2 linked regions of the Arabidopsis thaliana genome follow. The protein of the gene in region 2 interacts with the protein of the main gene of each other region in a pairwise test. Each region holds a gene or a part of one and is shown on either strand. Other genes may lie near its edges.

The links.
Region 1: the proteins of AT1G60160 (region 2) and ABCB16 interact in a protein complementation assay, tested with the Arabidopsis thaliana proteins (one large-scale study listed by BioGRID).

What each region holds. Positions count from the first base shown.
Region 1 is NC_003074.8:10,605,821-10,622,251, reverse strand, and holds ABCB16 (P-glycoprotein 16), read left to right. Parts: upstream 1-5,890; 5' UTR 5,891-5,950; coding exon 5,951-6,148; intron 6,149-7,240; coding exon 7,241-7,295; intron 7,296-7,406; coding exon 7,407-7,585; intron 7,586-7,654; coding exon 7,655-8,112; intron 8,113-8,205; coding exon 8,206-8,746; intron 8,747-8,842; coding exon 8,843-9,721; intron 9,722-9,804; coding exon 9,805-11,181; 3' UTR 11,182-11,228; downstream 11,229-16,431. Other genes in the region: AT3G28370 (spindle assembly checkpoint component), read right to left, coding at 119-230, 374-501, 596-657, 729-773, 870-889, 996-1,058, 1,167-1,336, 1,553-1,625.
Region 2 is NC_003070.9:22,182,305-22,196,969, reverse strand, and holds AT1G60160 (Potassium transporter family protein), read left to right. Parts: upstream 1-5,426; 5' UTR 5,427-5,574; coding exon 5,575-5,817; intron 5,818-5,905; coding exon 5,906-6,134; intron 6,135-6,212; coding exon 6,213-6,461; intron 6,462-6,543; coding exon 6,544-6,594; intron 6,595-6,683; coding exon 6,684-6,944; intron 6,945-7,014; coding exon 7,015-7,182; intron 7,183-7,273; coding exon 7,274-7,528; intron 7,529-7,612; coding exon 7,613-8,640; 3' UTR 8,641-8,940; downstream 8,941-14,665. Other genes in the region: emb1220 (pre-mRNA processing ribonucleoprotein binding region-containing protein), read right to left, coding at 1,793-1,897, 1,989-2,064, 2,196-2,304, 2,383-2,453, 2,554-3,584, 3,675-3,737, 3,960-3,962. UniProt on the Arabidopsis thaliana protein: Putative potassium transporter.

The sequences.
Region 1 (16,431 bases), on a different chromosome or scaffold from region 2:
GTCAAGGAAACTATTCTTTTGAAAGAATGGCAAATCGAAATGAAAGGTACAAGCACTGGCGTAAATGTGATAAATGATTACTGCGACCGTAATTATCATTTTATAAATTATGCTTCACCAGCTAACAGAATTAAAGGATATCTAGTGAGAACTTGCACTGAATTCGTTTTGTCTGTAATGGCCTCCATGAGTGACATTTTCTTCTCATAGTCGTCAAGCTCCTTCTGCAGCTACAGATAGAAACACCAAATTATCAAATACCAATTTGTTCTCCTCACTGAATGATTAAACAAAATCTAAAAAACAGGGAATGGATAAGCTAGCAAAAGATATTTGAAGCAGCAAAGTTTACAATTGACTCCTATTACATTACCTGTTCTTGTATCTTCTGCTCTGCCAGGTATCCTTCTTCCTCTTTTGCCAATTGAGAATTTACTTCAGATAGCATTCCCTTTATAGCTTCTAAATCAGCTCCAGAACCGTCTTCAGAAGCTTTGACATCTGCAATTATGAAACATATCCAGAAGCCATCGTCTCTTACTAAAACAGTGAAAAATCAGACAAGAAGAGTAAACTACAAACATTCGTTACTCACTTGCTGTAATGCCAATACCATCATCACTGCTCAAACTCGAATCTACTGTTTTCTGGAACTCCCTATTACCAACCAAGCAACTTAGATGTGTTACACCAGGTACAAGATGATAACGCAAAGAATAGAAAATAACCTTATCTCCTTGTTCAGTTCTTCCATTTGGCTTATAAACTGATCTCTGAATATCACAAAGAGAACAAGCAATTTAACAAACATAACCTAAGTATACATCAAGAACTAGAACTTATTAAGACGTTAGAAATATCAAAATCACCTGAGTAATCCTTCCTTGTTCTTTATTTCACCAACCATCAAGTCATTAACAAAAATTCCAGAATATCAAACGAAGAAATCAACCAACCAAGCATTAACAATTTCAACAAACAAAGTGTAGCCAAACCTTAAGAGCATCAACTTCACTGCCAATAGTAGTAACTTCATCCTGAAGAAGACTAATCCTTGCCTGAGAAAAAAAAAACGAAACACAGTTTCGATCTCATTAGACACCAAAACTTCTTATTCATCGAGATTGAATCGTAGAAAATCAAGTAAAACCAAAGAAAATCAAAACCTCGAGAGATTGAATCGTAGCATCATTCAAAGACAATTCAACTTCGTAACCATTAAGCTCCTCTTCCGCTACTTCTTTGATACGCTTCGCTTTCTCAACTTCTGAATTCGCTGCTTCAACTTCCGATTGTAAAATCTCTATTCTCTTCTTCAATCCAACAACTCTTTGCTCTTAATTTGAAAAATCACAAACAATCAGAACAATAAATTCTCCAATTACAGAGACTGATAAGATCAAAATCGCATACAATCAACAACTAAAACTCAAAATAATGGAAATCTATATCATCTTCTCCAGAATCTGTACAAATTTCTATTAAACACATTCCGATTTCTTCTTCTTCGCGAAATCTCCAGAAAACGAAGAAAATGTATGAAGTATCTTACCTCCACGAGATCTTTCAGAGGTGAAATCGCGGATCAGAGAGAGAAGCTGCTTCTGCGTATCGATTCCCGCCATGGTTTCTTCGTGTGTTCAAGCTCTCTACTGAGAAAAATATCTCGGTTCCTTTCTAAAACTGTTCGCGTCTATGAGAGAGGCGAAAAATTAGAAATATCGGCCCATATTTATGGAGGCCCAAATTATCGAGGGTTATCGAAACTGTATTTATGAAAATTGACGTCATGAAAATTGTATCTAACCCATATTTCAGTTAAATCTCATGAAACTTAATTTGATTGACGTGAATGACTACTTTCAAAACATGATCAGGTGAATCTTCTTCACTAAAAGGAATTATGGAGAGTGGATGACGAATGTGAAACTAGGTTTAGTCGACAAATTAGTGATAGCTCCAGTGGGAGGATGTTTTAGAGGATGAAGGAGATTAGTTAGTAGCAAACGTTATGGTATGTCATCATAGCCGCCCTGGACAAAAATTGATGAAGCATCTGCGTGCGGCCATAGATTATATAGCCAATATAATCGGCGTGCATTTTAAAAGTATTTTCTTGTCCTATTAGTAAAAACAATAGATTTTAATTTCAAAAGATAATAGTTCAAATTTACGTTTTTTTTTTAATAACAGGCCTAAAAAACTTGTGGGGTTGTATGTCATAAATTATAAATACAATTGTACATCAACCCAAACGATCATGATCCATTGAGAGATAACCGAGGAGCATAGGGATATTCTAGTAGCGGAGCTAGTGTATTGGCAAGGGGGTCAGTTGACCCCCATAACATTTATAATTTTTTAATTATAACGTAGATAATGATTTCTAGATGTTTTTCTTTAAAGTTGTCATAATGACCCCCATAAATAGTACTAGAATCATGCCTCTTTTTTATGATGGTAGAAACTAGAACCATGCCTTTGACCCATGCATTTTCATTTTTTCAATTAAATGTTAATCCTCTTTCCATTTTTATTTTTTTTTTCTTTCAAAATGGATAAAAATTTCTAACATCTTCTTACATATTAATTTTGTTTCTTCTGTTTTAGACATTTTGTTTCAGATTTTTGTTTGTAGTTCATCTCTTCTTAAAAATTTATACTTTAAATATATCATATCATATTATATTTAAATAAAAATAATTAAATATTTATGATCCGTAAACAAAAATTCTGGCTCCGCTCACCCTATATTCTAATAGAGAAAATATAGTATGAAATGATACATTTAAAGCATAAATTTTAATTACAGGGTCATATATATTTAAATATTTATGATATATTTAAAGTATAAAATGATTTTTGATAGAGAAAAACTCCATATGTTATTGGACAAAAACAAAAGATTTTTTTAGTGCTATGGAATGCATAAATCCCACAAAAATATAATGTATATATATATATATATATCTGTTCCCCTATCTATCGTACAATATATTCCCTTATGAAAATGTGTATAAACAACCATACGAAAAAGAAGGCCAAACAAAAGATGGCACTGTTCTTGGAGAATCTATGAGCAAATATATGTTCTTAGGATTCACATAGGAGCCACGTCGAATCCACCATCTGAAAGTTATTTTTTTCGATGCTAAGAGTTAAATTGCGAAATTGACTATTGTAAACTATTGTTAAACTGAAATTGACTATATAATGGAAAACACGTTAAACTGATTAAACGTCTCATCAATAAAATAGCTTATTGACATGACACTTTGGAGATAGAGGATTTCTTCGTGATACAACTTTAGTTAAGATGTGGAGGATATGAGGAAAGAGTTAACCAGACGTAATTAACATGAATACAAAATTGAAAAAATCCATTAGTAAATTTAGAGGACTTTAGGACTTTTAAACTAAAGTGCATACCGATCACTCCCAATAATCCAGTGGACATCTTTTTCTCAATCTGCTAGTGCGACTATCTTATACATAATTCGACTAATAAAGTGGAAATGGTTTTCGTATACACTAATAAATTCAAAATATTTCTCTCAAAGATACCACCTTTTACATAATTTAGTTTGTAGTAAAATAAACAAAGTTCTAGTAATGATTTAACGGAAATGGTTTTCGTACAACTATTGGGTGTGTTATTAATTTTTATTTCTTGTTTGGAAAAGTTCTAATTTTCGTAACTCTTCTATATATTTTTTACAAGTTTTAAAGGGGTCATAGTGGCGGTTAGAACGTTACAAAAACTATGATAACAACTATATAACTAAAACAGTAAAATAGATAGTTGCCCTAATTCTACGTTGCGTTGTCACTTTTGTCATGTCATCCACTTGGGAAAAGAAATAACATTTATATCGAGCAAGAACTTCAGTAGTGACAAATTCAGCATACGAGGAAAATAGCATATTGACATGACATGAGACTTAAGAGATAGATGATTTCTTCGTGATATTACCTAAGATGTGGAGGATATGAGGAAAGAGTTAAGCAGACATTATTTAAATGTCATCTTTCACTATAAACGTGGGTCTTATCTCTAATCTCATCGGCTTTTTAATTAGTTATCTTTGGAAAAAAATCAGGTTTTTGAAATTTTGTAAGCGGACAAAGAAGTTCATTTGTGATATCTCACATGGACTTTCGTGAGCCATCAGATATTTCAAGTCATACTATATCTGATTTCAAGGCTTGGAAGGAAGCTCAATTAACTTGCCGATGTAATAGTTCAACTGGTAAGGTCCATAACACATGAAAATTTTCAAGTGGATGGATCTTGGAAGGATTGCCAACCCTAGTTTTGTCTCTCTTTATTTAGAGTTTTTAAACCATGTTTTTTGAGGGGATCGAGAGACTAGATTTTGAGACTGATTGCGCGGAGTTGATCAAGATGATGCATTGTCTTGTTGATTGACCCGTCTTCTCTAGCTTTCTAGATGAGTTCGGACTACTTGAAATCCTTTTATTGTTTCTCGTTTTTTTCAGAAATAATTATTGTAATTGAAATTATAGAATGTATTGCATATTTTGTTGAGTACGTACTTTTCTATTGATTAATTATAAGACTTTGAACTACAAATCTCTTGATAGAAATCACACTTTGGCAGTGGAAAACATGGAATTATAAACATGGTGGTAGAGAGGAAGCATTGATTATAATATTTCACTTCCATATTGTATATTTCTTGGTTTTCTGGTTCACTATCGAGTCGTTTTTACTGTCTTCTTTGGTGGGCAACATGGAATCTTTAAAAGAAAGAGCATAATCTAAAGAGATTAGCAATCACTTTCATAAAGTATAAGCTAAAGAGATTAGCAATTTACTATTGTTTCCAATCAAACATTAAACTTTTAACAACACTCCCAGAGTGATTGTCCATATAAGATTTCACTACAGAAAATGGATGACGTCGATTTACCAGCTTCACTTCGTAAACCAACGTAAAATTTTTAATATATGAAGGTCCATTAAAATAAATGTCCACTACATAAATCAGAGTCTAAACTGTTTATTTGATTTATTAGCTTATGCTTAAGAACTTTTACGAGCTTCTTTGTAATTGACTTTAAAGCGAGACAATATTAACGTCATACAATAATACGACGGTCTCCAAACTGACGGTAGAAGTTTTAAGTCAGCTTATATATAACTGACGTTACACTTAATATTAACCGACGTAATTTGCCGTGTTCTCTTTGTAATGTTGCGAGAAAGACATCTATAAAAATTAGATCATAAAATTTGAGTCTAGAATAACATGCTAAACAATCTCCTGTACTATCTTTTTAAATCGAGTAGTCGCTGGTGACGTCCACAAGAAAAATTGCGGTCATTTTGCCAAATCATGAGAAGTCCCTTTAACTTTGCGAAAGTATGCAATAAAAACTCAAATAAGTATGTTTCCTAAAAAAAAAAAAAAATTGTATGGTATGAGAAATTTAAACTATTTTGATATTGACGTTCGTCGTTATGTCGTAAAATCAAATCAATATCTTTACAAAAGCATTGTGAATTAATGAAGAAATTAACCTAATTGTTTATCAAAGAAAAAGAAACAGCAATACACGAAAGTATTTGAAGTTCATACACAAATTAAATTTTGAAAACTAATTTATTAGCTTAAAGCCTTGAAGTACTCAGCATATATTATTTTATTTGTTTTCTTGTAGCTAGGTTACTGAGCCTGGTTCGCGTCTTCGCGAGGAGTTGTATAAGTTTTACCGAATTAAAATAGGTACTGCAGGTATATAACAGATGTTAACAAATAATATTATATATATCATATCATATCACTTTCGGTGAAGTCGCTCTGTCTCGGCTACTATATATAGAACAATCAGGAAGACGGAAAAAATAACATTACACTTGAAAAAAATCCACAAATATAAATGAAAAGAGAGAATCTTTTGTTCTTGAAGAAAAAGAGAGAAGAAGATGAAGACATGGGGAAGCATGAGATCAATATTCATGCATGCCGACGGTGTAGATTGGATGTTGATGGGATTAGGGTTAATCGGAGCCGTCGGTGATGGCTTCATCACTCCTATTCTTTTTTTCATCACAGCCATGCTATTGAACGACTTCGGTAGTTTCTCTTTCAACGATGAAACCTTCATGCAACCCATTTCCAAGGTCCTTTCTCTCTATCTCTCTTCTTTTCTCTTTGTTTTGGTTTATATTCTCTCTAAGTAGGATCATAATACTAATTTAAGTATATAAGATTATATACAATAATACAATATATATATATATATATTTAAATTATAGTATTTTAAAAATTAAATATTACATGAATTGTTTTATATAATTTTATATTCTTTGAGTTGTAAAGAGTAAAGCAAATTAAGCAATGCTATTTTTTCATTTAATGTTATTTAAATTGATTTTGTAGGTTAAGGGGATAAACAAAAAGTTTTGTTTCATTAAAATTTAAATTCAAAGAATTTAGTTTAATTTCCATAGGATATTATATTCTATAACTAAAAAAGTTGGTAAGCAAGAGTTCGAGACTGAAAGTGAGAGCCATGCTAATCTCTAAAATGATGACTAAAATACATATATTTTTGCTATTTAATACGTTCATAGCCAATTTAAATAAAAATATTTCTCACATTCCCATAAATTAGTTACTACCAAACATTCAAAGAAGAAGCAGATAGACTGGATTATGAAGGGCGGGTCAAAAAGGCAATTGAACATTGGCTTACTGGGTGTAGTTAGATTATTTTAGCCAAATAAACTAGCAATAATCCAACAATTATGATAGAATTAACTAAATTACAATATTTAAATGAGTAGACTTTTTTTTTTCCAATGAGTAGACTGTAGACATAACAAGTGGTTTCTCATGTAATGATGACAGAGAGTTGTACAAATTCCAGCCAAGAAATTTACCTTAAAATGGAAAATCAAAACTAGACATGACCAAGTAGACCAAGCATGGTGGGATTCTTAATTAAAACGATCGGCTTATGACTTTTTCAAAAAATAAAAAACTATCGTCTTACATATATGTCCATATGTGTATGTTAAATAGGGATAGCAATAAGAGAAATGTGAAAACCCAAATATTTTATTACATAATCTTAAACTTCTTACTATAACTCAACGTGTAGTAAGATTACGATTACTATATTGCCCCACATATCAATTACATTACTTAAATATATAGGAAAGAGTACTAATATAGTATCTTCCTTCTTTTTTTCACGTTGTAACTAACAGAATGCTCTAGCCATGCTTTATGTGGCTTGTGCATCTTGGGTGATATGTTTCCTTGGTAAGTGTGTTTCTTTCAATTTTTTTTTTATCAAATTAAAATATTAATTTGGTGCACCTCAATATAACAAATTTTGTTTAATTTTGTGGATGGGTTTAATATTTAAAACAGAAGGATATTGTTGGACAAGAACAGGGGAGAGACAAGCAGCAAAAATGAGAGAAAGGTACTTAAGAGCAGTGTTAAGACAAGATGTGGGTTACTTTGATCTTCATGTCACAAGCACTTCTGATATTATTACCAGTGTCTCTAGTGACAGCCTTGTCATTCAAGACTTCCTCAGTGAAAAGGTTTTCAATTTTTATTTATCATATTTCTTGTTCTTAAACAATTTTTTTGATGATTTTGAATTCAAACAGTTACCAAACATTTTGATGAATGCATCTGCGTTTGTCGGAAGCTACATAGTGGGTTTCATGTTGCTGTGGAGACTCACAATCGTAGGCTTCCCATTCATCATTCTCCTCTTGATCCCTGGACTAATGTACGGACGAGCCCTCATTGGCATCTCGAGGAAAATACGTGAGGAGTACAATGAAGCTGGTTCTATCGCCGAACAAGCCATCTCTTCGGTTAGAACCGTCTATGCATTTGTTAGTGAGAAGAAGATGATAGAAAAGTTCTCAGATGCGCTTCAAGGGTCGGTGAAGCTAGGGTTGAGACAAGGGCTAGCTAAAGGAATTGCTATTGGGAGCAATGGTATAGTTTATGCTATATGGGGGTTCTTGACTTGGTATGGAAGTCGGATGGTTATGAACTATGGCTACAAAGGTGGTACTGTCTCCACAGTCACAGTTTGCGTCACCTTTGGTGGCACGTAAGTATTTAAGTTTAAGTCTCTTGGCATTTCCTAACACACAAAAAAAAAAACATCTCTTAGTTTTGATATTTGGTATTTTACATTATGCAGAGCACTTGGTCAAGCATTGTCGAATCTTAAATATTTCTCCGAGGCGTTTGTGGCAGGGGAACGGATTCAAAAAATGATAAAAAGAGTCCCTGATATAGATTCAGACAACTTGAATGGTCATATTTTGGAGACTATAAGAGGAGAAGTTGAATTCAACAACGTGAAGTGCAAGTACCCGTCTAGACCCGAAACCCTAATCTTTGATGATTTATGTCTGAAAATTCCATCAGGGAAAACTGTAGCTCTGGTTGGCGGAAGTGGATCGGGAAAATCAACAGTGATATCGCTTTTACAAAGGTTCTATGACCCGAACGAAGGCGATATTCTCATTGATAGTGTGTCCATTAATAATATGCAAGTGAAATGGTTGAGATCGCAAATGGGTATGGTTAGCCAAGAGCCATCGCTCTTTGCCACATCGATAAAGGAGAACATATTATTTGGTAAAGAGGACGCATCCTTTGATGAAGTAGTGGAAGCAGCCAAGGCCTCAAATGCTCATAATTTTATTTCGCAATTTCCTCATGGTTACCAAACTCAGGTTTAGACTCATATCTTTAGAGTAAATTTTTAAAGCCTTTTTTGTGTTTAGTTTGTTAATGAGAACGTATATTTGGTTTTTGTGTAAACCGAAAAGGTTGGGGAGAGAGGAGTGCATATGTCGGGAGGCCAGAAGCAGAGAATCGCAATTGCACGAGCGTTAATCAAATCACCGATAATTCTTCTCCTAGACGAGGCAACAAGCGCATTGGATTTAGAATCTGAAAGGGTGGTCCAAGAAGCCTTAGACAATGCATCAGTTGGTCGTACAACTATTGTTATTGCCCACCGTCTCTCTACCATTCGTAATGCTGATATTATATGTGTTCTACATAATGGTTGCATTGTAGAAACTGGATCGCACGACAAACTCATGGAGATAGATGGTAAATACACTTCTCTAGTTCGCTTACAACAAATGAAGAATGAAGAATCATGTGATAACACTAGCGTAGGTGTGAAAGAGGGCCGAGTCTCGAGTTTAAGAAACGATTTGGATTATAATCCAAGAGACTTGGCTCATAGCATGAGTTCAAGCATTGTTACGAATCTTTCTGACTCGATTCCTCAAGATAAGAAGCCGCTTGTGCCATCGTTTAAGAGATTGATGGCAATGAATAGACCAGAGTGGAAACATGCATTATGTGGTTGCTTAAGTGCATCCTTAGGTGGGGCCGTACAACCAATTTACGCATATTCGTCCGGGTTAATGATATCGGTATTTTTCCTAACCAACCATGAGCAGATCAAAGAGAATACAAGAATTTACGTGTTATTATTTTTTGGTCTAGCTCTATTCACTTTTTTTACTAGTATCAGTCAACAATATAGTTTTTCCTACATGGGAGAATACCTGACTAAACGTATCCGAGAACAGATGCTCTCGAAGATACTAACGTTTGAAGTCAATTGGTTCGATGAGGAAGAGAACTCAAGTGGTGCAATTTGCTCCAGACTAGCGAAAGATGCTAACGTGGTATATTTTCTGCCTTATTAATTTGACCTTCAATGAGAAATATATTTACCATTTATTGATCTTGAATTGCTTTGTCATGATAGGTAAGGTCGCTCGTTGGTGAAAGAATGTCATTGCTGGTACAAACCATATCAACAGTTATGGTAGCTTGCACAATTGGTTTGGTCATCGCTTGGAGATTCACCATTGTGATGATTTCAGTACAACCAGTAATTATTGTCTGCTATTATATTCAACGTGTTCTGCTCAAGAACATGTCGAAAAAAGCCATCATTGCCCAAGATGAAAGCAGTAAACTAGCTGCAGAGGCTGTCTCCAACATCCGAACCATCACAACCTTCTCATCACAAGAACGGATCATGAAATTACTCGAGAGAGTTCAAGAAGGTCCACGAAGAGAAAGTGCCCGCCAATCATGGTTAGCTGGGATTATGTTGGGGACTACGCAAAGCCTTATAACGTGCACCTCAGCTTTGAATTTTTGGTATGGTGGTAAATTAATCGCTGATGGGAAGATGGTATCAAAAGCATTCTTTGAGTTATTTTTGATCTTTAAGACTACAGGCCGGGCTATTGCCGAAGCTGGGACAATGACGACAGATCTAGCCAAGGGCTCAAATTCAGTTGACTCAGTATTCACAGTGTTAGATCGTCGAACCACCATTGAGCCGGAGAATCCGGATGGGTATATCTTAGAAAAAATAAAGGGCCAAATCACATTTCTCAATGTGGACTTCGCTTACCCAACGCGACCTAATATGGTTATATTCAACAACTTCTCCATAGAGATCCACGAGGGAAAGTCGACAGCGATCGTAGGTCCAAGTCGGTCGGGTAAGTCAACTGTAATCGGGTTAATCGAACGGTTCTATGACCCGTTACAAGGTATTGTGAAAATCGATGGCCGTGATATAAGGTCGTATCATCTAAGATCACTTCGTCAACACATGTCTTTGGTTAGTCAAGAACCAACATTATTCGCGGGGACAATCCGAGAAAACATAATGTATGGACGAGCATCTAACAAGATCGACGAGTCGGAGATTATCGAGGCAGGAAAGACGGCAAACGCTCACGAGTTCATTACATCACTATCAGACGGCTATGATACGTACTGCGGAGACAGAGGAGTACAATTGTCTGGTGGTCAAAAACAGAGGATAGCTATCGCCCGAACGATTTTAAAGAATCCATCAATTTTGCTCCTCGATGAAGCTACAAGCGCTTTGGACAGCCAATCAGAGCGTGTAGTGCAAGACGCCCTCGAACATGTGATGGTAGGGAAAACAAGCGTTGTGATCGCACATAGGCTTAGCACGATCCAGAACTGCGACACGATTGCTGTTTTAGACAAAGGAAAAGTTGTAGAAAGTGGGACACACGCTTCCTTGTTAGCAAAAGGTCCCACAGGCTCTTATTTCTCATTGGTCAGTCTTCAGAGAAAGGTCAGATATGTATAAATTATAAATTCACATATGTTTCACAAGCCTAAAACATGAAGCATGTTACCATGTAGACGTATTATTGGGTTTGTTAGTTGTTGGTGTAAAAATAATGCTGGGGTTCATTGCGTCTATACCTTTTAAAACCAAAGAACATGATCACTGTTGATGAAACTAGCTACGGACTAGTATTATTTCCTTCATCATTGCACGTTTGGTTAAGTTTCTAGACAAGTGGTTTCTTAGATCCTGAGAGGTGAAAAGTCAATGTCTTACCATCTTGGGACCGAGTAAATAAATCTTTCCTCAAGCAACCACAAGTGAGATTGGCTTTAACTAAGACACCTCCTTATCCTACAATGGATAAAAGAAAAACTTGTACATATCAAAGTTTACAGAAACAATAAACTTTGACAATGCAATCTTAGTCATGTTGACAGATTCTCCTCGCTTTCATAGCCAAGTGAGAACGGGTTCTCTGATCATCATCAGTCTCTTCACTATTATCGTAGCAGTCAAAGTACCTACCTATACAGATGCGGACATGCCTACATACTTTCAGGATGAGAATTCCAGGTAAAATAGATCAGAATCTATATATATATATGATGTCTTTTCCTGAGTATCCTGTTTAAGAAGACTACAAAAATCTATTTATGAGCCTGAACTAGACACTAGCTGCTTCAACCTGTCTAAGAGAAATCTGGTAGGTCTATATGTGATTGATGCTTTCTATATTTCTTAACTCTTGAGATTTCGGTTAGGGTTCATTGGTTTTGGTACAGCAAATAGTTTTTTGTACAGGTAGAGAGATATCTGAACACGGATACATCATGCTGACCAATACCATAAAAACATTAATGCATTTGTTTCCAGTAATTCCATGGCATGTCGAAAATGGTATATAGAAATGAGAAAAATAGTTGGTAAGGGTCAACATACTTGATCTCCCTGAAGAAGTAAGCTCAAAACTTCCAAATTCTCTGCTTGGCATTGTTGACATCGGCATTTCTTTTGCAGCTCCTCCCCGAGTGAAGCCAATATCTGTTCCAACTCGGACGTCTGCTTGTTTTCTGTCAAGGGAACTATTCTTTTGAAAGAATGGCAAGTCAACCTGAAAAGTACAAGCACTGGCTTGCTTTTCTATCCTAGGAAAAAATTGCCTTGCTGTAGAGTACAGTACATGCCGCCTCAATAAAGAACAGAACTAGCAGGTGAAAATGTGATAAATGATTATGCAACTGTAATTATGAGTATATAAATCATGTTTCACTAGCAAGCGGAATTAAGGATATTTAGCAAGAACTTGAACTGAATTTGTTTTCTCTGTTATGGCCTCAATGAGTGACATTTTTTTCTCATACTCATCAAACTCCTTCTGCAGCTACATATAGAGAAACCGATATTGATCCCCATTTCTTCTCTTCATAGTATGAATAAACAAAATCTAAAAAACAGGGAATTGATAAGCTAGAAAAGGTATTAGGAGCAGCAAAGTAACAACATTCAAGCAACTTGGTCCTGGTCCATTTTACCTGTTCTTGCATCTTCTGCTCAGCCAGGTATCCTTCTTCCTCTTTCGCCAATTGAGAATGTACATCAGATAGCAAATTCTTAATAGCTTCTAAATCATCTCCAGAGCAATCCTCAAAAGCTTTGATATCTGCTATTACAAACTCATCCAGAAGCCATCATCTCTTAATAACACAGTGAAAAATCAGACAAGAAGAGTAAACTGCAAACATTAGCTACTCACTTGCGGTTATGCCAGTACTATCCTCATCGGCCAAACTCGAATCTACTGTTTTCTGGAACTCCCTTTTACCAACCAAGCAACTTAAGATGTGTAGCAACATCATAAGATGAAAACGCAAAGAATAGAAAATAACCTTATCTCCTTGTTCAGTTCTTCCATTTGGCTTATAAACTGATCTCTGTATATCACAAAGAGTATAAACAATTTACCAAACATAACCTAGGTATAAATCAAGAACTATAACTTATTAAGACGTTAGAAAGATCAAAATCACCTGAGTAACCCTTCCTTGTTCTATATTTCACCAACCATCAAGTCATCAACAAAAATTCCAGAATGTCAAACGAAGAAATCAACCAACCAAGCACTAAAACTCAAAGAAACAATGTGTAGGCAAACCTTAAGAGCATCAACTTCATTGCCAATAGTAGTTACTTCATCCTGAAGAAGACTGATCCTAGCATGTGATTAAAAATTAAACATAAAACACAGTTTCAATCTCATTAGACACCAAAACTTCTTATTCATCCCAAAAGCCAATTAAATCAAAACCTCGAGAGATTGAATCGTAGAATCGTTCAAAGACAATTCAACTTCGTAACCATTAAGCTCCTCTTCCGCTACTTCTTTGATACGCTTCGCATGCTCAACTTCTGAATTCGCTGCTTCAACTTCCGATTGTAAAATCTCGATCCGTTTCTTCAATCCAACAACTCTTTGCTCTTAATTTGAAAAACCACAAACAATCAGAACAAATAAATTCTCCGATTACACCAAAAACTAGAAATAACCAACAATGTATATCTGTTCGATTTTGTTTCGAATTTCTACTACACGCTTTCCGACTTCTTCTTCTTCGCGAAACATCCAGAAGAAGTACAAAATGTATGAAGTATCTTACCTCCACGAGATCTTTCAGAGGTGAAATCGCGGATCAGAGAGAGAAGCTGCTTCTGCGTATCGATTCCCGCCATGGTTTCTTCGTGTGTTCACTTCAAGCTCTCTCTACTGAAAAAAATATCTCGGTTCCTTTCTAAAACTGTTCGCGTCTATGTGAGAGGGTTTAGGCCCATATCGATAAGGGCCCAAACTATTAAGCTCAAATATATTGAGGAAATTAATTAGACATTTTTAAGAACTTGTAAATTCGATTTTTTTTTTAAAGTTTATTTCCCCAAACGAATACTTAGTGTTACCCCATTATATGATATATCTGGTAGAATAAAAATATAAAATTTTGTTGATTTTGTTATAACTGAAGAGCAAATAAGTTTATAAATCCAAATCCTCGGTTCCTTATTAATCAAAAATTTTAGAAAGAACAAAATTGTTACAAAAAGATATAAATTTCAGATTTTTTTCTTCATTTTTATTAGTTATTAATGATGAATTGTACATTTCAATAAAAATAAAAATTTGAATATTCTCAGATTCCTCAGTTATTAAAACTTTTGTTGAAAATTGTTTTGTTTTTGTTTTGTTTTTTCTTTCTTTTTTAGTCAGTGAGTTGTAAAACATTGTTTTTGCATACATATACAACCAATATTTAGGGAAAACAAAATAATTGAAAAAGTGAAAGAAAATGCCGCTTTATTTCGCATGTAAGATTAAATTCAAGGATGGTTGACAAAAATCATCAGCTCGAGAGGGTATGGTTAGAATTCAACATAGAATATTGGAATGTGTTCTAAAGTAAGTTATAAAATATCCAGTCATAAACAGTTGATTTTGAATTAAAATCCCATAAAACTTTAATACTGTATGATGAAATGGTAGAAAAATGTTGAGTTCCCTAGGTCTCGTCCGTGAATGACAACTTGAAAACATGATCATGCGAGTCATTAATATTCACTAAAAGGAATTATAGAGAATGGATGAGGAAGGTGAGAATTAATATTTCCGCCAAGAAAAAAACTAGGTTTAGGCGACGAATTAGGAAAAGCTCCTAATGGAGGTTTTGGAGGATGAGGAGGATTGCCGATTGCTTAATGTCGAATGTTTTGGTTATGTAATAGATTTATAAATACCATTGAACATCGACTTCGAACGACCATAACACATCGAGAGATAACCAAGGAGCTCATGCTCACTCTATATTTCACTACAGAAAAAAAATACAAATGTTATTGGACAGAAACCTAAGATTTTAAAGTGCTATGGAATGCATAAATATGTGTTCCACTATCTATCGTCCAATATATTCCCTTATCAAAATGTGTATATATACAACCATACGAAAAAAGGCCAAACAAAAGAGTTGATGGGACTGTTCTTGGAGAATCTGTGAACAAATAAATTCACATAGGATTCACATAGAAGCCACGTCGATCCCACCATCTCAATGTTTTTTTTTCGATGCTAGGACTTAATTGCGAATTTGACTATTGTAAACTATATAATGGAAAACACGTTGAAGAGATTAAACGTCTCCTCAAAAGAAATTTGTTGGACATAGTTATTAGTAACCAAAAAAGTTTATATTCTCTTTCTTTGTTTCATACTACTTCATGCCAAACAAGAGAATGTGCTATGTAGTGTGCGCATGCGAAACAAACAAAAAACAAGAAAGAACAGACCAAAGAAAAATAATGGATCAACTAAACCCTCTTGGGGACTTGCTTAAGAATAAGAAAGAACAATCTCATGTTACACACAAGAAAAACAAAAAATGTTAAATACTTGTTTATATATTGTTTTTACAAACGGTTGAATCACTGGATTAGTACTAATTGATACATACAGTATCTGCTATTTATGTAGTAGTTGTAAAATACTAAAATCAGTTGAATGCTGTAAATTTTTCTACTACACGATTTTGGTTTTGAGTGCGCAAATTGAATTTTAGAATTTTGAAAAACCAAAAGTCATGTTTATAAAACTTTTTTCTATACAAATTAGTAATTAAATTGGTTAATAGTTAAGTTAAGTGGATACATATACAAAATTAGTCCGAGTCTCGTATCCGTTTATGTGGTTTTAATAGCTGAAAAAACAAGTTTATATATCTTAAATATTTACGTTTTTAGAGTTTTATAAAATAATTAAACGGCTAGTCAATATTTATGAATTCAGAAATAATAATTTTGATAAAATATATGTAAATGATCCATTAATTAATCACGTTGTATAATCCATTTCCTCAAAATAACAATTGTATTTAATCTCTTACGAGTTACGTCTCAAAACAAAAAGTAGAATAATGTAAGCACTATAGATGTACGTTGAGAGCTGATGATGATGATGCTTATGGTGCTGTGAGGTTTAGTGGCTGGGAGGGAGTGATAGTCACTAGTAGGCCAAGTTGCAATTGGTGATGGACTGATGAGCCTTTTGCCACTTATGGAAACCAACATCTCTTATGATCTGGTGGACATCTTTTGCTCAAGCTGTTAGTAATGTGATCATATACATAATTCGACTAATAAAGTGGCCATGGTTTTCGTACAACTATATTTCTCCCAAGATTCAAAATTTAGTTTTGGATGAATATACATAGTTCGACACATGTCCAC
Region 2 (14,665 bases):
ATGGTCCGATATACCTTCTCTTTCCTTTGATGATAGTGATACACTGCATGCTGCTTCGATAAACGAAACCCTAACTCGCTACACAGCTCTCAAGATGATAAAGTTTCATCTCAAAACCAGCAACCAGCACACTGTTCCCCACTTCGACAAGTGGATCAAGTTCGCCATGTCCCGCAACGTGGAGAATCTATCATTCAGTAGTACTTTTTTTCATAGTTATAATCTTCCTGATTTCTTCTACATCAATTCCTCTATTAAGCAACTCAGCTTTTGAGTTATTTAATATGATTCCTAGATGTTCCGTATCTTGGACGTCCCTGAAGAAGTTGTCCCTGCGTTTTTGTGAGCTCTCTGATGAATGTATTGCGAAGATTCTATCTGGTTGTCCGATTCTCGAAAGCTTAACATTGTCCCACTGCATCTACCTTACGGTTCTTGATCTTAGCAAATCGCTGCGCTTGAGAACATTAGAAATAGCCTGCAACATTGACAATACGAGGCCAAGGCAGATTGTGGCACCGCATATCCATCGTCTCAGACTGAAAACCTATCAGTCACCATGTGCTTTAGTTGATGTCTCGTCTTTAGATGAAGCTCAAGTGGACTGTTTCATTTACTCACATCTAAAGACCCTCGACGCTTATTTACTTCAAGACATTCTTAAAATGCTAGAGAAGTTGCAGAATGCAGAGAAGCTTATTTTTGGGTGCAACATTCTTCAGGTATGTTTTGGGCTCATTCTTGCATTCTCCAATGTCTTCAAGTACTCTCTTACTTACTTCACTTATGTTGGTTGCACACTCAACGTTTACCGATGCTATATAAGTTTACTAATGGACTAATGGTACTCATCAATATGCGTTTTGGTGTTGACTATCTATCTTTGTGTTAGATTTTATCTCTTGCCGAGGTTTGCGGTCTTCCTTTCCCGATGTTCAAGACAAAAGCTTTGACTCTTGAGACAGATATCTTTCAGTATGTTATTCCTGGTATAGAAAGACTTTTACAAAACTCACCTGATTTAAAGACGGTGACAGTTCGTCCAAGTGATGGCAACATCATGCCGGTATATTTACCACAAACTTCTTTGATTTTTTTCATGGCCTACCTTCTAACTACCTTCCTTCTAATAATCCAAGAACCATGTTTACTCTTCTGTTGTGTAGGGTAGGTGTTTTGACAACTACTTGGACTTGCAAGGCTTGAATCCGAATCAATGTTGGAGATCAAAAGATGGGGTCTTTTGGAATAAATCCCGTTCGAATTTAGGGTCAAAGAGAGTGACTTTATTCGTGGAACTTATGCTTAAAAACACAAAGATATTAGACAAGATGGTCGTTCAGTTAAACGAACATTACCTTAGGTCTAAGTTAAAAGAGTTTGTTCCAACATTTTCTCAGAAGAATAATGTCTTGATTGTGCTCTCAACCACACTGAGACTATGAGTGGTGTGAATCATTTGGTTTAGTCTTGATTGAACCTCAATTAAATATAGTGTTTTTTCTTTTCTTGTTTTTACTAACTATGTTCGAAGAGTGGTTAAAACCTGCAATGGCTTGTGTCATGTATGATGGTAATAAGAAGATGGATCTTTAGGTATGGCTCTAATACAAAAATAAAATTTATAAAACGTTTCCAAAGAGTGATCAAAACAATGCCTTTTGTCTCTTAAGTGACCGAAGAAACCTTAAAACAGACATGAGATAGAGAAAGCAGTTTCTTTCCACCTTTGTTTCATTTTTACACTTTTAGTGCTCGGCTTTTCAAGACTTGTATCTCTGTCTTCCATATTTTAGATCTTCTTCAGCTTCGAGAAGGTTCCTGACTCTGAGAAGTAAGTGCTTTGAGTCCCACTTCCTAATCCTAAAGCCTGCTGAGGATTGCACAACTCTATTCCCTGTCAAATAGATAACCAATTGGAGTCAGACAGTGATGCAAATGGAACACAGGATCAAACTTTTGTCAAGAATCGAATGAAATGTTTGTACCTGCACAGGAGTGAAAGCCAGGCTCGATGTCAAACCAGAGGTAGTCGCACCACCCGCATACTGCCTTTCTTTAAGCCTGAAAAAGTAATTGATATAAAGACGCAAATGAGATATGATGGAAGAAGAACAGGGCAGGATAATTTGTAAGAGTAAAAATATTAACATGATAAATCCGAAAAAACACAGGAGAAATAGAGGAACACTTACTTTTTGGCGACCTTAGCATTAATCTTAAGCTTGCTCGGAACACTGGATACTCGCAGCCTGTTGCTTCCTGCCTGGCCAAGCATTCCATAACCTTCTCCTAGTCCATCACCTATCATCATGAAGAGTAGATATTAGACTAAGTGCCTTATAAGTGGCCATTAACAAGTGTAACTACAAGATATATTACCGAGGGAGCTCTCTTCAGGTGTACCAAACGCCATTCTGTTGGCCAGCTTCCTCATATCTGTTACTTGATACCTGATTTAAAGAGAAACGTAAGAATGCAACAAAATAAATACAGGTGAATAGAACTCAATCTACAGTAATTAAGGACACAAAGTAGGATGAAAAAGGCTACCTTTCTTTCATTTTTCTTAGACGGCGACCACCCCTTCTTTTCTTCGGTTCAGAATCAGGAACAGGAAGTGGCTTAGGCTGTCTTGCAGGAGGAGGTTCTTGCCATTTCTCAATCTTCTTACGGATCTCCTCCCTGAAAGCTTTTCCACTTATCCCTAACGGATCCCCTCTAGTAGCATCAACTCTTGCTGCCAAAGTTGATTTTGCAGCCACGAGCCTGCCAGCGCGAGCCTGAAGTCCAGGAGGCGTGCTTTGGTAAATCTCTGTCTGCTCCAGATAACCCACACGGGACTGAGACGTTGCAGAAGAAAACCCAGCAAGGTTCTTCCTCTTGTGGCCAAGAACTTGAACATTACACGCAGGCATTTTAGCAAGTGCTGACAAACCTCCAGCAGTCCCCATGAGTTTGGCTGCAACAGCACTCCCAACAATAGCAGAAAGATTAGGTGCAATAGATCCCATCTTACTTTCAACAAACTCAAGGACCTTCTTCCTTGCGGAATCAAGATCTAAAGCCCGATCACAAGCCTCTAACACCTTTTGCAAAACATCCTCTGGCAGTGCACTCCCTTTCGTAGTTAAAGCAGTAACTGAAACAACCATGATAATAGCTGAAGGAAGAAGGTCAGCGAGATCAACAAGAGCCAAATCCGTCTCATTCCCAATCTTCTTCACAACACATGCATAGTCAATAGGGTGATGAACCAACGACTCAAGCTCTTGAAACTTAAGCTTGTACTTGTCTTTGATAAAGTTGTGGACAATAACGATTTCATTCTCAATATCGACCGAAAGCTGATTACAATCCACAATAAGCTTATACTCAGGATCATCTTCCAAGACAGTTCCTTTCTCAGCTCCATCAGAATCTTTCCCAAGAGCCTCCTCTACTTTATGCATAATATCAGCATATCTCTGACTCTTCTGCAGCTTAGAAACATTATCGAGATCATCATAGTTAAGTGTCTCTAAATCAGCCATATCCATATCAACATCTTCTTCTTCCTTTCCAACATCACCATCATTCTCGTCCTGCATATGTATAATCAAACAAACTACAATTACAATCATAGCTCCTCCAAGTAAACAGATAATAGTAATCAAAAGTGTTTTAACACTCACCAATTCTGCTTCATTGTCAGATAACTCGTCCAAATCAGCAAGGAAAGAATCTTCAAGAGTTGCCTATAACAAATCCAACATATTGAAAGTTAGTAAAACAAGCTTAAGAATAACTCAAATCTCGGAAACAAAGCAATATCTATGATCTCGGAATCCCTAATTTTGAAATTGAACTTTAGAGAAGATGAGTCAAATCAAAATTAACACAATACGATTACAATAAACAGAGAATACAATCGCCAATAACTGAAACAATGAAGAAAATAGAGTTAAAGAAACGCTTACCATATCTCTTTCTACTTGGGAGGCAAAAGCTTCAGTGATTCTCCTACGGATAAAAGAAAAATCGTTGATTCAGAAACCCTAATTTATAGAGAAAGCTTGGGATATACACAATTGATTAGAGGAGGATAATCAAAAGTTACCTGAAGAATCGAAGGAGAAATCAATCGATTAGATTCGAGAAGAAAATTGAAGAGCAGCGAGCGACTAGTGTTTTTTCCTTAGGAAGGCGAAGAGGAATGTTTTCAGTTGAAACCTTGTGTGCTATAAAAAAGTCGAGTTTCGAAGCCGGCAATATTTGGGCCTTTTTTAATGGGCCTTCTTTGAAACTAACACTAGTAAATGGGCTTCTGCAAATTTCCGTTTTAAAATATCTTACTATACAATCTTTTGTTGAAATAATTATATTTCTACAAAAGGAAGTTACTCTTTAGGTTTGCTTCAGTTCTATTTTATGTCACACTAGATTTTAATCCGCGGTACACCGCGGGGATAATTAATTTTTTAATATATATAAAAATTTGCAAATTGTATCTATATATAAAATATTTTTATTTTAAAGTTTACAATTGTTATTAAGTAACGTCCTGCCAAACCCGTCCCGTAAAAGAAACCTATTTATTTTATTAATGTTGATTTTATTTATGATATATTTATAAATCATTGTATAAATATTTTGTAATTTTGTAGTAATTAACTGCTATCAAATATTTCTGCGGTTTGATGCTTATAATCGAATTGTTATAGTCATGAAAAAAGCAATATCAAAAATGATAATTTTGTAGTGTTTAAATGATATTAAATATTTTGGAAGTTTTATTTTAGTAACTAATTGTGTAGTTAATATGGAGAGATTTCGGGAAGATAGTTAAATGTCAAATATTTAATTCGAAGATTTACTTTCTAATTATCAAAAATAATTATTAAATGTCAGTGGCAGCCACTGTAAATAAGTCCCAACTTGAGGATTTATTTCACAAAGTGGCTGCAAAAATGTATATATAGATTAAAATAATTATACATATGTAGCAAATTTTATATTACAATTACAAATCAACAATTTTTTTTGATAAAACAAAATTTTCACCCATCGAAAAAAAAAAATTCTCTCTTTATAATGTGTTTCTTGAAACAACAAAAAATTAAACTAAAATCTATTGTATATCAAATAAAATAGAGTAAAATGTATCTAAAAAAATGGTTGAGACAGAGATCCTTGTTCTCCATTGGGGAAAATGTTGCTACCAAAAAAGCAAAGAAACTAAAAAGAGTAAATTTTTTCTTGAATAAAGTAAATTTCCATTATACATAACAAAAGAAAGAAGGAACTAAAATACTTTTATAGGATAAGGATAGATAATCGAGGAAAAAAAAAAAAAAATATAGTGTTTTCATTGGGAACGTTATTAAAGTAGTTCAAATAATTGTCTGTTTCTTGACAGTAACTATGAACATGTTACCCGTGAGATATTGTCAGAGAGTGAAGTCACACTCAACCAATAACAATGACCAATCCAATCTCTTCTAATTTTTCCTCCAACCAAAATTATAATCCTTTCAAGAAAACAGAGTTGTTAGTTTCTCTGCTTCTTCTCGTTTTGGAGGATTATTCTAAATAATGGAGGAAATTGAAGAAGGAAGCAGCAACAACAGCATAAGACGTGTTGGTACCGGAAGTAGTGACCGGAGATGGGTTGATGGAAGCGAGGTAGACTCTGAAACGCCGCTGTTTTCAGAAATCAGAGATAGAGACTATAGTTTTGGGAATTTGAGGAGAAGATTAATGAAAAAACCCAAAAGAGCTGATTCTCTTGATGTTGAAGCTATGGAAATTGCAGGTTCTCATGGTCACAATCTCAAGGTTAATCACCCATGATTAAAGTTTTGATTTTTATAAGTGCACATGTTGTGTTTGTGTTATTGACATTGAAAAATGAAAACTTTTTTAGGATTTGTCACTTTTGACTACACTTGGAATAGCGTTTCAGACGTTAGGTGTTGTGTATGGTGATATGGGAACAAGTCCTTTGTATGTGTTCAGTGATGTGTTTAGTAAAGTTCCTATAAGATCAGAAGTTGATGTTCTTGGAGCTTTGTCTCTCGTTATCTACACTATTGCTGTGATTCCTTTGGCAAAGTATGTATTTGTAGTCCTTAAAGCTAACGACAATGGCGAAGGTAATGCTTCCGCACCGATGTGTTTAGTAAAGTGAGATATTTAAGTGGTTTCTCAGGATATGTTTGTTATGTGTGCAGGAGGGACATTTGCGTTGTATTCACTTATTTGTAGGTATGCAAAGGTGAATAAGCTGCCAAATCAACAACCTGCGGATGAGCAGATCTCGAGTTTTAGGCTTAAACTCCCAACTCCTGAGCTGGAAAGAGCTCTGGGGATTAAAGAAGCTTTGGAGACAAAAGGGTATTTGAAAACTCTTCTTTTGCTTTTAGTCCTAATGGGAACTTCCATGATTATTGGCGATGGAATTCTAACACCAGCTATGTCAGGTGAGTCTTATTTGTATTAATACAGTGTAACTTGAGCTGCATTTACAGTTGGAATTTGATCTTCCTTTTGATTCTTCTGCAGTGATGTCTGCAATGAGTGGTCTACAAGGTGAAGTTAAAGGATTTGGAACAAGTGGGTATCATTATCACATGATTTCTCTCTCTATGTCTTGATGTCAATTTGATCTTTGATTTTCAATCTTGATGTGTTGTTCTTGTCAGATGCATTGGTTATGTCTTCGATTGTGATTCTCGTGGCTTTGTTCAGCATACAACGGTTTGGGACGGGTAAAGTTGGTTTTCTATTTGCTCCAGTTCTGGCGCTCTGGTTCTTCTCTCTTGGTGCTATTGGAATCTATAATCTGTTGAAGTATGACTTCACTGTCATAAGAGCACTAAACCCGTTTTATATCGTTTTGTTCTTCAACAAGAATAGCAAACAGGCTTGGTCTGCTCTTGGTGGATGTGTCTTATGCATAACAGGTAAGTCAACACGCTTAACAACTTCTAAAATAAATCAAACCTTTCTTACAAAGTGTTTAAAACTACGCAGGAGCTGAAGCAATGTTTGCAGATTTAGGACATTTCTCAGTTCGTTCTATACAGATGGCATTTACTTGCGTGGTGTTCCCATGCCTTCTCTTAGCTTACATGGGTCAAGCTGCTTATCTAACAAAGCATCCCGAGGCCTCAGCTCGCATATTCTATGATTCAGTTCCAAGTAATAGTTCAATATATCCTTAATCTCTCAGCTTTGATTATATTAGATGTCAAAAATTCTGAAAGTTGTGATAAAATGCAATGTTGAGCAGAGAGTTTGTTCTGGCCGGTGTTTGTGATTGCAACATTAGCTGCTATGATAGCTAGCCAAGCCATGATCTCCGCGACTTTCTCATGCGTCAAACAAGCCATGGCTCTCGGTTGCTTTCCAAGGCTGAAGATAATCCACACTTCTAAGAAACGGATAGGTCAAATCTATATACCAGTTATCAACTGGTTCTTGATGATCATGTGCATTCTTGTCGTCTCCATCTTCAGAAGCACAACCCACATTGCCAATGCTTACGGTCAGTCTTTCGGTTTGATTTCTACGCAGAGTCCTGAAAAGGCTTTCTCGTTTTGATATTTTTTCTTCTTTTTTCCTGTTTCAGGCATAGCAGAGGTAGGTGTAATGATGGTTAGCACAGTTTTGGTAACTCTAGTGATGCTTCTTATTTGGCAAACCAATATATTTCTCGCCCTTTGCTTTCCCCTTATATTTGGATCAGTGGAGACCATTTACTTGCTAGCTGTTCTCACCAAGATATTGGAAGGCGGTTGGGTTCCGCTAGTATTCGCCACTTTCTTCCTCACTGTAATGTACATTTGGAACTACGGAAGTGTACTCAAGTACCAAAGCGAGGTCAGGGAAAGAATCTCCATGGATTTTATGCGTGAGCTCGGTTCAACTCTTGGGACCATTCGAATCCCTGGGATTGGACTCCTTTATAACGAGCTTGTCCAAGGTATACCTTCCATTTTTGGACAGTTCTTGCTCACTCTTCCTGCGATTCACTCAACAATCATCTTTGTCTGCATCAAATATGTTCCTGTCCCGGTTGTTCCTCAAGAAGAGAGGTTCCTCTTCAGACGGGTTTGTCCTAAGGACTACCATATGTTCAGGTGCATTGCGAGGTATGGTTACAAAGATGTCAGAAAAGAAGATTCTAGAGTCTTTGAACAGCTTCTTATTGAAAGTCTAGAGAAGTTCTTGAGATGTGAAGCATTAGAGGATGCTCTAGAGAGCACTCTGAATGATTTTGATCCCGATAGAGTTTCCGTTGCAAGTGATACTTACACGGACGACCTCATGGCTCCTCTCATCCACCGTGCAAAGCGTTCTGAGCCAGAGCAAGAGTTGGATTCAGAGGTTTTGCCATCTTCAAGCGTAGGGTCGTCTATGGAGGAAGATCCAGCTCTGGAATATGAACTTGCGGCTTTGAGAGAAGCCACAGACTCGGGGCTAACGTATTTACTGGCTCATGGAGATGTAAGGGCGAAGAAGAATTCGATTTTCGTGAAGAAGCTTGTGATTAATTACTTCTATGCGTTTCTAAGGAGAAATTGCAGAGCTGGAGCTGCGAATCTCACTGTTCCTCATATGAACATCTTGCAAGCTGGGATGACTTATATGGTCTAGTGTATGATTCTTTAGCTATACTCTCTTTGGAACATTTCTCCTCTGGATATCTCCATGAATTAGGGTTTGTTTCTTGCGGTTGACGTCTGTGACTGTCGTTACCGTAAGGAACAAGCAAAGGTTGAAGATTTCCTAATATTATTTATATTCTAATACTTAGGGAAATAAAAGTGTATCAACTACTTAATACAAATATACCAAATTCACTTGTGATTATAGTCTAGTGTGTTGCTAAATTTAAAATTGATAATTGAGTTTAGATGTGCATATTTTTTGCATCACTACTAAATTCGCATGGTGGTTTATAATCATATTAATTGAATAATCTGAGTTTCAACTAAAGATATTTGTTAAAGAAGCATAGAGACCAATAGGTAAGTGGGATTTGAGTTAGTCTTTGATTGGATGTTAAAGTAGATAATGTGACATTCTTTTTCATATTAATGTCGAAAAACAAATTTCTAATTACAAAGTGAATCCTACTTGTAACTCACTGCGCTTCTTTTTATCCCCTTTATGTCACTTAAAGCTCTAATTAAAAATCTCATTAAACAAAAATCTTTGAATTTAATTTGGCTACTAGCTAGTGACATGTTAAGTTGCCCCTCCACAATATATTTTATAATAACTAAAAATATTACAAAATTTGTGACAGCTTCACATACAAATGTCAAATTCAAAAGACGAGTGTACAAATAAAACTCTCATATATGTTTATGTAGTAGATTATTCGTATTGGTCGAGTTTGGATTACTTATTAAATAAAAGTCAATACAACAAAGTGAAGGGACACCTTCACCTATGCTTTGAATAACAACCATCATTTATATTTGTTTATAGTCGAAGGGGTCATTTTCTGGATAAATAGACTCTTTTCCATCACTGTCAAAACTATTATAGAACAAACAAATTATAACATAGTATAGTTACTAAAAATTGCTACTTTGATTGGAAAAATATTCAGAAATAATTTAAGAAATCATATGATTAAATGACAAACAGTACAAATAAATTATTTAATGTTGCTTCGAATCGTTTAAAAATATATAAATAGATTTTTCTGTTCGGAATCTCTTAGTTGATAAATTAAAACAATAAAAGAAAAACATAATATAGTTGTATATTGAAGTTTATGCAACTATCGATTTGATATCCAATAACAATTTGTATCTACTGCTAATTTCTATGTGTATGCTATGTCATGTACACTATTTGTTTCTATCAAAGTGAAGAAATTAAGCATTGGCATGTCTTTGAATTACATTATATATAAACCCACGTACATGTGCAACATGTTTAGAAATTGTGCATGTGATAGTAATATACCTACAAACTGAAACAATCACTCAAGAATTTTGTGATTGGGAATTTAGTTATTTTAAACAAATGTTTGGATGGTAAAATTAATAATAACTCCTTGGTTTTCAAGACTTGATAAACATTTGATATTGAAGCAGAGTAACTTAGAAGATAACTGTGAGTTAGGAGAGATTATTTCTTTTCACCTAAAGAGTTGTTAATAAATAGAAATAACTTAAACTAGTGGCATCGACAACCAGACCGCAAATTACATGAATGGATTGTAGCAATACGAGCTAAATAGTCGGGTTTTGAAGCAATTTTTTTTCTAGGGAAAACAACTGAAGTGAAAATCAGTGGAAGGGTGCATTGGTGTCTATTCGACTGATGTTTGGTCTAAAAAATTGGACTCATATCTAATATCCTTACTAAATTGATAAATTGTCCTTAATTCTTTCACATTACCAGTTTTGATTGGTGACTTTCAAATGAGGAAATTTGGGATTTGTAACACATTTCACATTTTTTTAGTAACCATATAAAGAGAGAAAATTTGTAACACCTTCACAATTTGTTTACTAACCATATAAGTTTATAAAATGTAATTGCATTCTGTAATGCAAAACAAACTATTCACCAAAATATTATAAACTAAACAAATTGTGTTGCTTCGTTTCAACTAATATGTTTTTTCTTTTGCCGATTAATTTTGTGTCGTTCTTTTATAATATCCCTATTTGGTTTTAAGTTTAAACATACCAAAAAGCAGTCTACAGTAATTTCTGATGCATCTTGACTTAATCCAAAAACAAAAGTATCTCTTTGTACCACGTCTCTTAATAAATTTCGTATCTCATTGTACCACGTCTTTTTTAAGATACAGTTTTGCGAGTAAGTAGTGTTCTTAACTAGAAGTAGACAAGATCTTCAAATCCAAAAATCCGATCCGAATTCCATACCTATCGGTCCCAAAAAAAGGATGATTGATCAAAAATAGTAATCTTACACCAACACACAACCCACAGTTTCAAAAAAATAAAATAAAAAATAGACATGATATTAGTTTTGTCGACTTGCGGACAAAGGTTGGAACTAGAACAATTGAAGTGGCCTTTGATTTATGCCCATAATAAAAAGACTTGCACGGTTGTCTATAACTTCCAAGACAATTTATGATTCCTGCTTAGTCTGTATTTAATATTTATCCACTCGTTAGGTCATTTTCACAACTTTCCATTTCCTTTTCTTATCTCTATGTGCTATCTTCTTTAATTTTTGTCCTTTTGAAAAGATGAACATTTATCTTTATTTGTTTCTTTCCTGGTGTCACCATTGCCGACTAGGGTTGGGTACACCGTACACGTATCATGTTTATATACTCTCTCTCATTTTTTTTAATGATGTTCAAAATTTTGACATATTATTTAGGAAATTATTTTAATAATTTGTATTAAAATATTATTTTCCTGATTTTTTATAATTCTGTCATTTAAAAGTTTTTCATATATATTAAAATTAAGTAAATTTTCATTACAAAAAGAATTAGGAAGGTAAGAGACAAATAAAGTTGATATTGTAAGATCTGTGGTGATTGTGACTGTATATAAATATCAGACCATTGATTAAGAAATTTTTAATTAGAATCTCTTTTGGTGGGTCTGCGTAAGATTTTCTTTGACTCCTTGTTAAATATTACACACGTAAATTATAGACTTCAAATTTCGTGATGTGTATCGTTGTGTAAAAACAAATGTAGAGGTTATGATTGGTAAGATACTAGAGTAATTACATTGTAATAGAGAGGAATGAATGAACAGAAGAAAAACAACACAAAGAAAGGTATAAATCCACCAAAAATAAATTATCATACTCTAATAATGTCTACCAGTTATATCCGTAAATATTGAACGACAATTTCTAATTATTTTATAACTGCAAACAATTAAATTTTTTGTTAAATAGCTAATATAATTAACAAAAAAATTAAGATAGTTGGTTGCCTTGCATTGATAGTAACTTGACAGTAATCCTCTAAATTAAGGTATTCGCATAATAATTATCTTTACGTTTAAAATAGAGCCTATAAAAAAAGTAGAAACTTTGAAAAAATGAAAAAAAAATGCCCAATTGGTCAACTCAGTTAGGTTTATGGTAATATTTCGTCGGTGAGAAGATGAGGATCAGGCCATTAAGAGTGTGGGTCCCACCTTATGAGCTAAAACCGAAAAACGCGGCGAAGTGGATAAGCCAGTGGGACCCATACCGTCGTCACAGCACCACAAGCCACCAACGCATGTTTTTTGTCTATTCACGTACCCCGTGGCGACCACGTGCCCAAAACATAGTATATTTTTTTTTTTCGTTCTTTAAACACCACAAAAATTCGAACCTAAACTTTGAGACACCTAACACCTTCACAAATTTCTTTTTATACATATAAGACTAAAAACTACAAACAATTGAGATATAATGACAACAATTGCTCATAAACCAATATAGGGAAGATATACTAACGAATCCATAATAATGGGATTCTTTTAAAACCTTTAACAAAAATAATTCATTTGAGAACAAAATAACCATACATTAAGTAGATTTTGTTTAATTTTATTGCTAGAATTTCTACATCCAAAACTTATATACAGTAAAAACTCTAGTTATCTAAAATTTATTACAAAAATGGAAATTACAGTCACAATCTTTGTCAAGTCACTCCTTAGTTTTTGTTATTTTACAGTTGGTTAATTAGTTGAATTTTAAAGACAGAATTCATTTTTTTTGTGGAGAATGAAATGTGTGATGTTTAAAAATAACTAGAAATAATTTTTAATATTAGTTTTCTGGTATGTTGGAATAGTCTAAATATAATAAATCTACACTTCCACCACCACAATGCAAATTACTTGTCAAAACTATTGTTTCAAGATTTGATAGACATAATCTGGCAGTAAAAGAGGATCTAGTACCTAATCAATAAATCGGGGTATGTTATTTACCACATACAAATAATTGTATGTTATGATTTTGATAAACCTTTTTTATATAGATGATTATATGTGTATTACATTCCAACTTTTTGTTATTTTTTTCTTTCATTCATCCAAACAAAAAAATCTTATGTTAAATTTAATACTGATACCTATCCATCATAAATAATATGGGTGGAGATTATGGTGCTTGTCCTCGATTCAAAAACTTGACAATTTGTTCGTACCAAAATGTCCTCTCAGAAAAAATAAGTGGTAATTAATCATTTTGTCATGTAAATGCAACATTTAATATTTATGTGGTCGGACGAGGAAAACTAAAGGCGATAGATTAGAGTTTGAATACGTATAATTAGTGATATACCATTGCATTTTTACTTGGTTCGTTAGTAGACAGCCAGATAACTGAAGTCACTGGACAATACCTTGTTTTGAGCTTCATTTACTCATCAGTCATCACGCATGAGTCATGGTGCGAGAAGCTAGCCATAACCTTGTTTAATTTATACTATTGCCAACTCAAAATTAAATATTAATGCATGATAAAAATTCGTTGATTGATAGTGCACTATTATTAAGTATTAACTACGAGTCTTTGACATTAGAGTTGAGTTTCTCAAACTTCATAAATCAAGAGTGTTACACTTGCACATTTTTCTTTTTCTTATCAAATTTTTTAGTTACCTTCAACATTTAACTTAAGCTATAATAGTGTTTGTACTTTTAACTATTTTAGTTATCTATTGAAATAATTTGGGAAGCAAGACAGCAAACCAAATATGTGAAGCAGAAGTAAAAAAATATTCTAAATATCTTACTGTACTAAAATATTATTTAACTTCTGCTTCACGAGGTTTTGGTTTGTTATCTTGTTTTCCAGGTTAGCTCAATATTATTATGATTAACTTGTGTACTCTGCAACAACAATATCGAAACAAGAAACCACCTATTTTTCTCCTGCTGCTACACCGCAGAAATATGGGAAAATCTTGCCAAAAACATATACAAAACTAAGTTCTCAACAAACTGGTCTACTATTTTAACTTCTGTCTCTACTACTTGGCGAAACAGAACAGAGAGTTTTCTTGCTAGATACATCTTCCAGGAAACCATACACACCATATGGCATGAGAGAAATGGTAGAAGACATGGGGAACGTTCGAATTCAGCGACTCATCTAATCCGGTGGCTCGACAAACAAATGAGGAATCAAATTTCCACAATCGCAGCAAGCGGAGACTATCGATATGATAAGGCTCTCCAACTATAGTTTCAATCAAGATCATGAGCTTTTTTACAAAAAATTTTCTACTCTTTCAATCATATGTTGCACTTGATGTATAAACGTTTATTTACTTTTTAAATATAATTTAACATTAAATTCAAAAAAAAAAAAAATATTATGATTTTTGATTGGTAACTGGTAACCCCATTTAACTTATAAAATCACAAAAAAAATATTTATGCATGACAACCTTTGCCGAGTCGCATAATGGTTAAAGTTAAGTTAAAACATCTATTAAAATGATTAAGTGATAGCATTATTCGTAAGTTACGAGTATACGACAAATCATATTTGATATGATAACGTTCTTTATTATTAATTAGCATCGGTGCCACTTTCTTGTCAAATATATTTATCTTCTCTCTTTATCAATCATAAAATTAATGATATCTTAAAGTCTTTGATAACTGACCAAAACATAAAGATTTTTTCTTTTGTTTTTGAATTTTGAGCA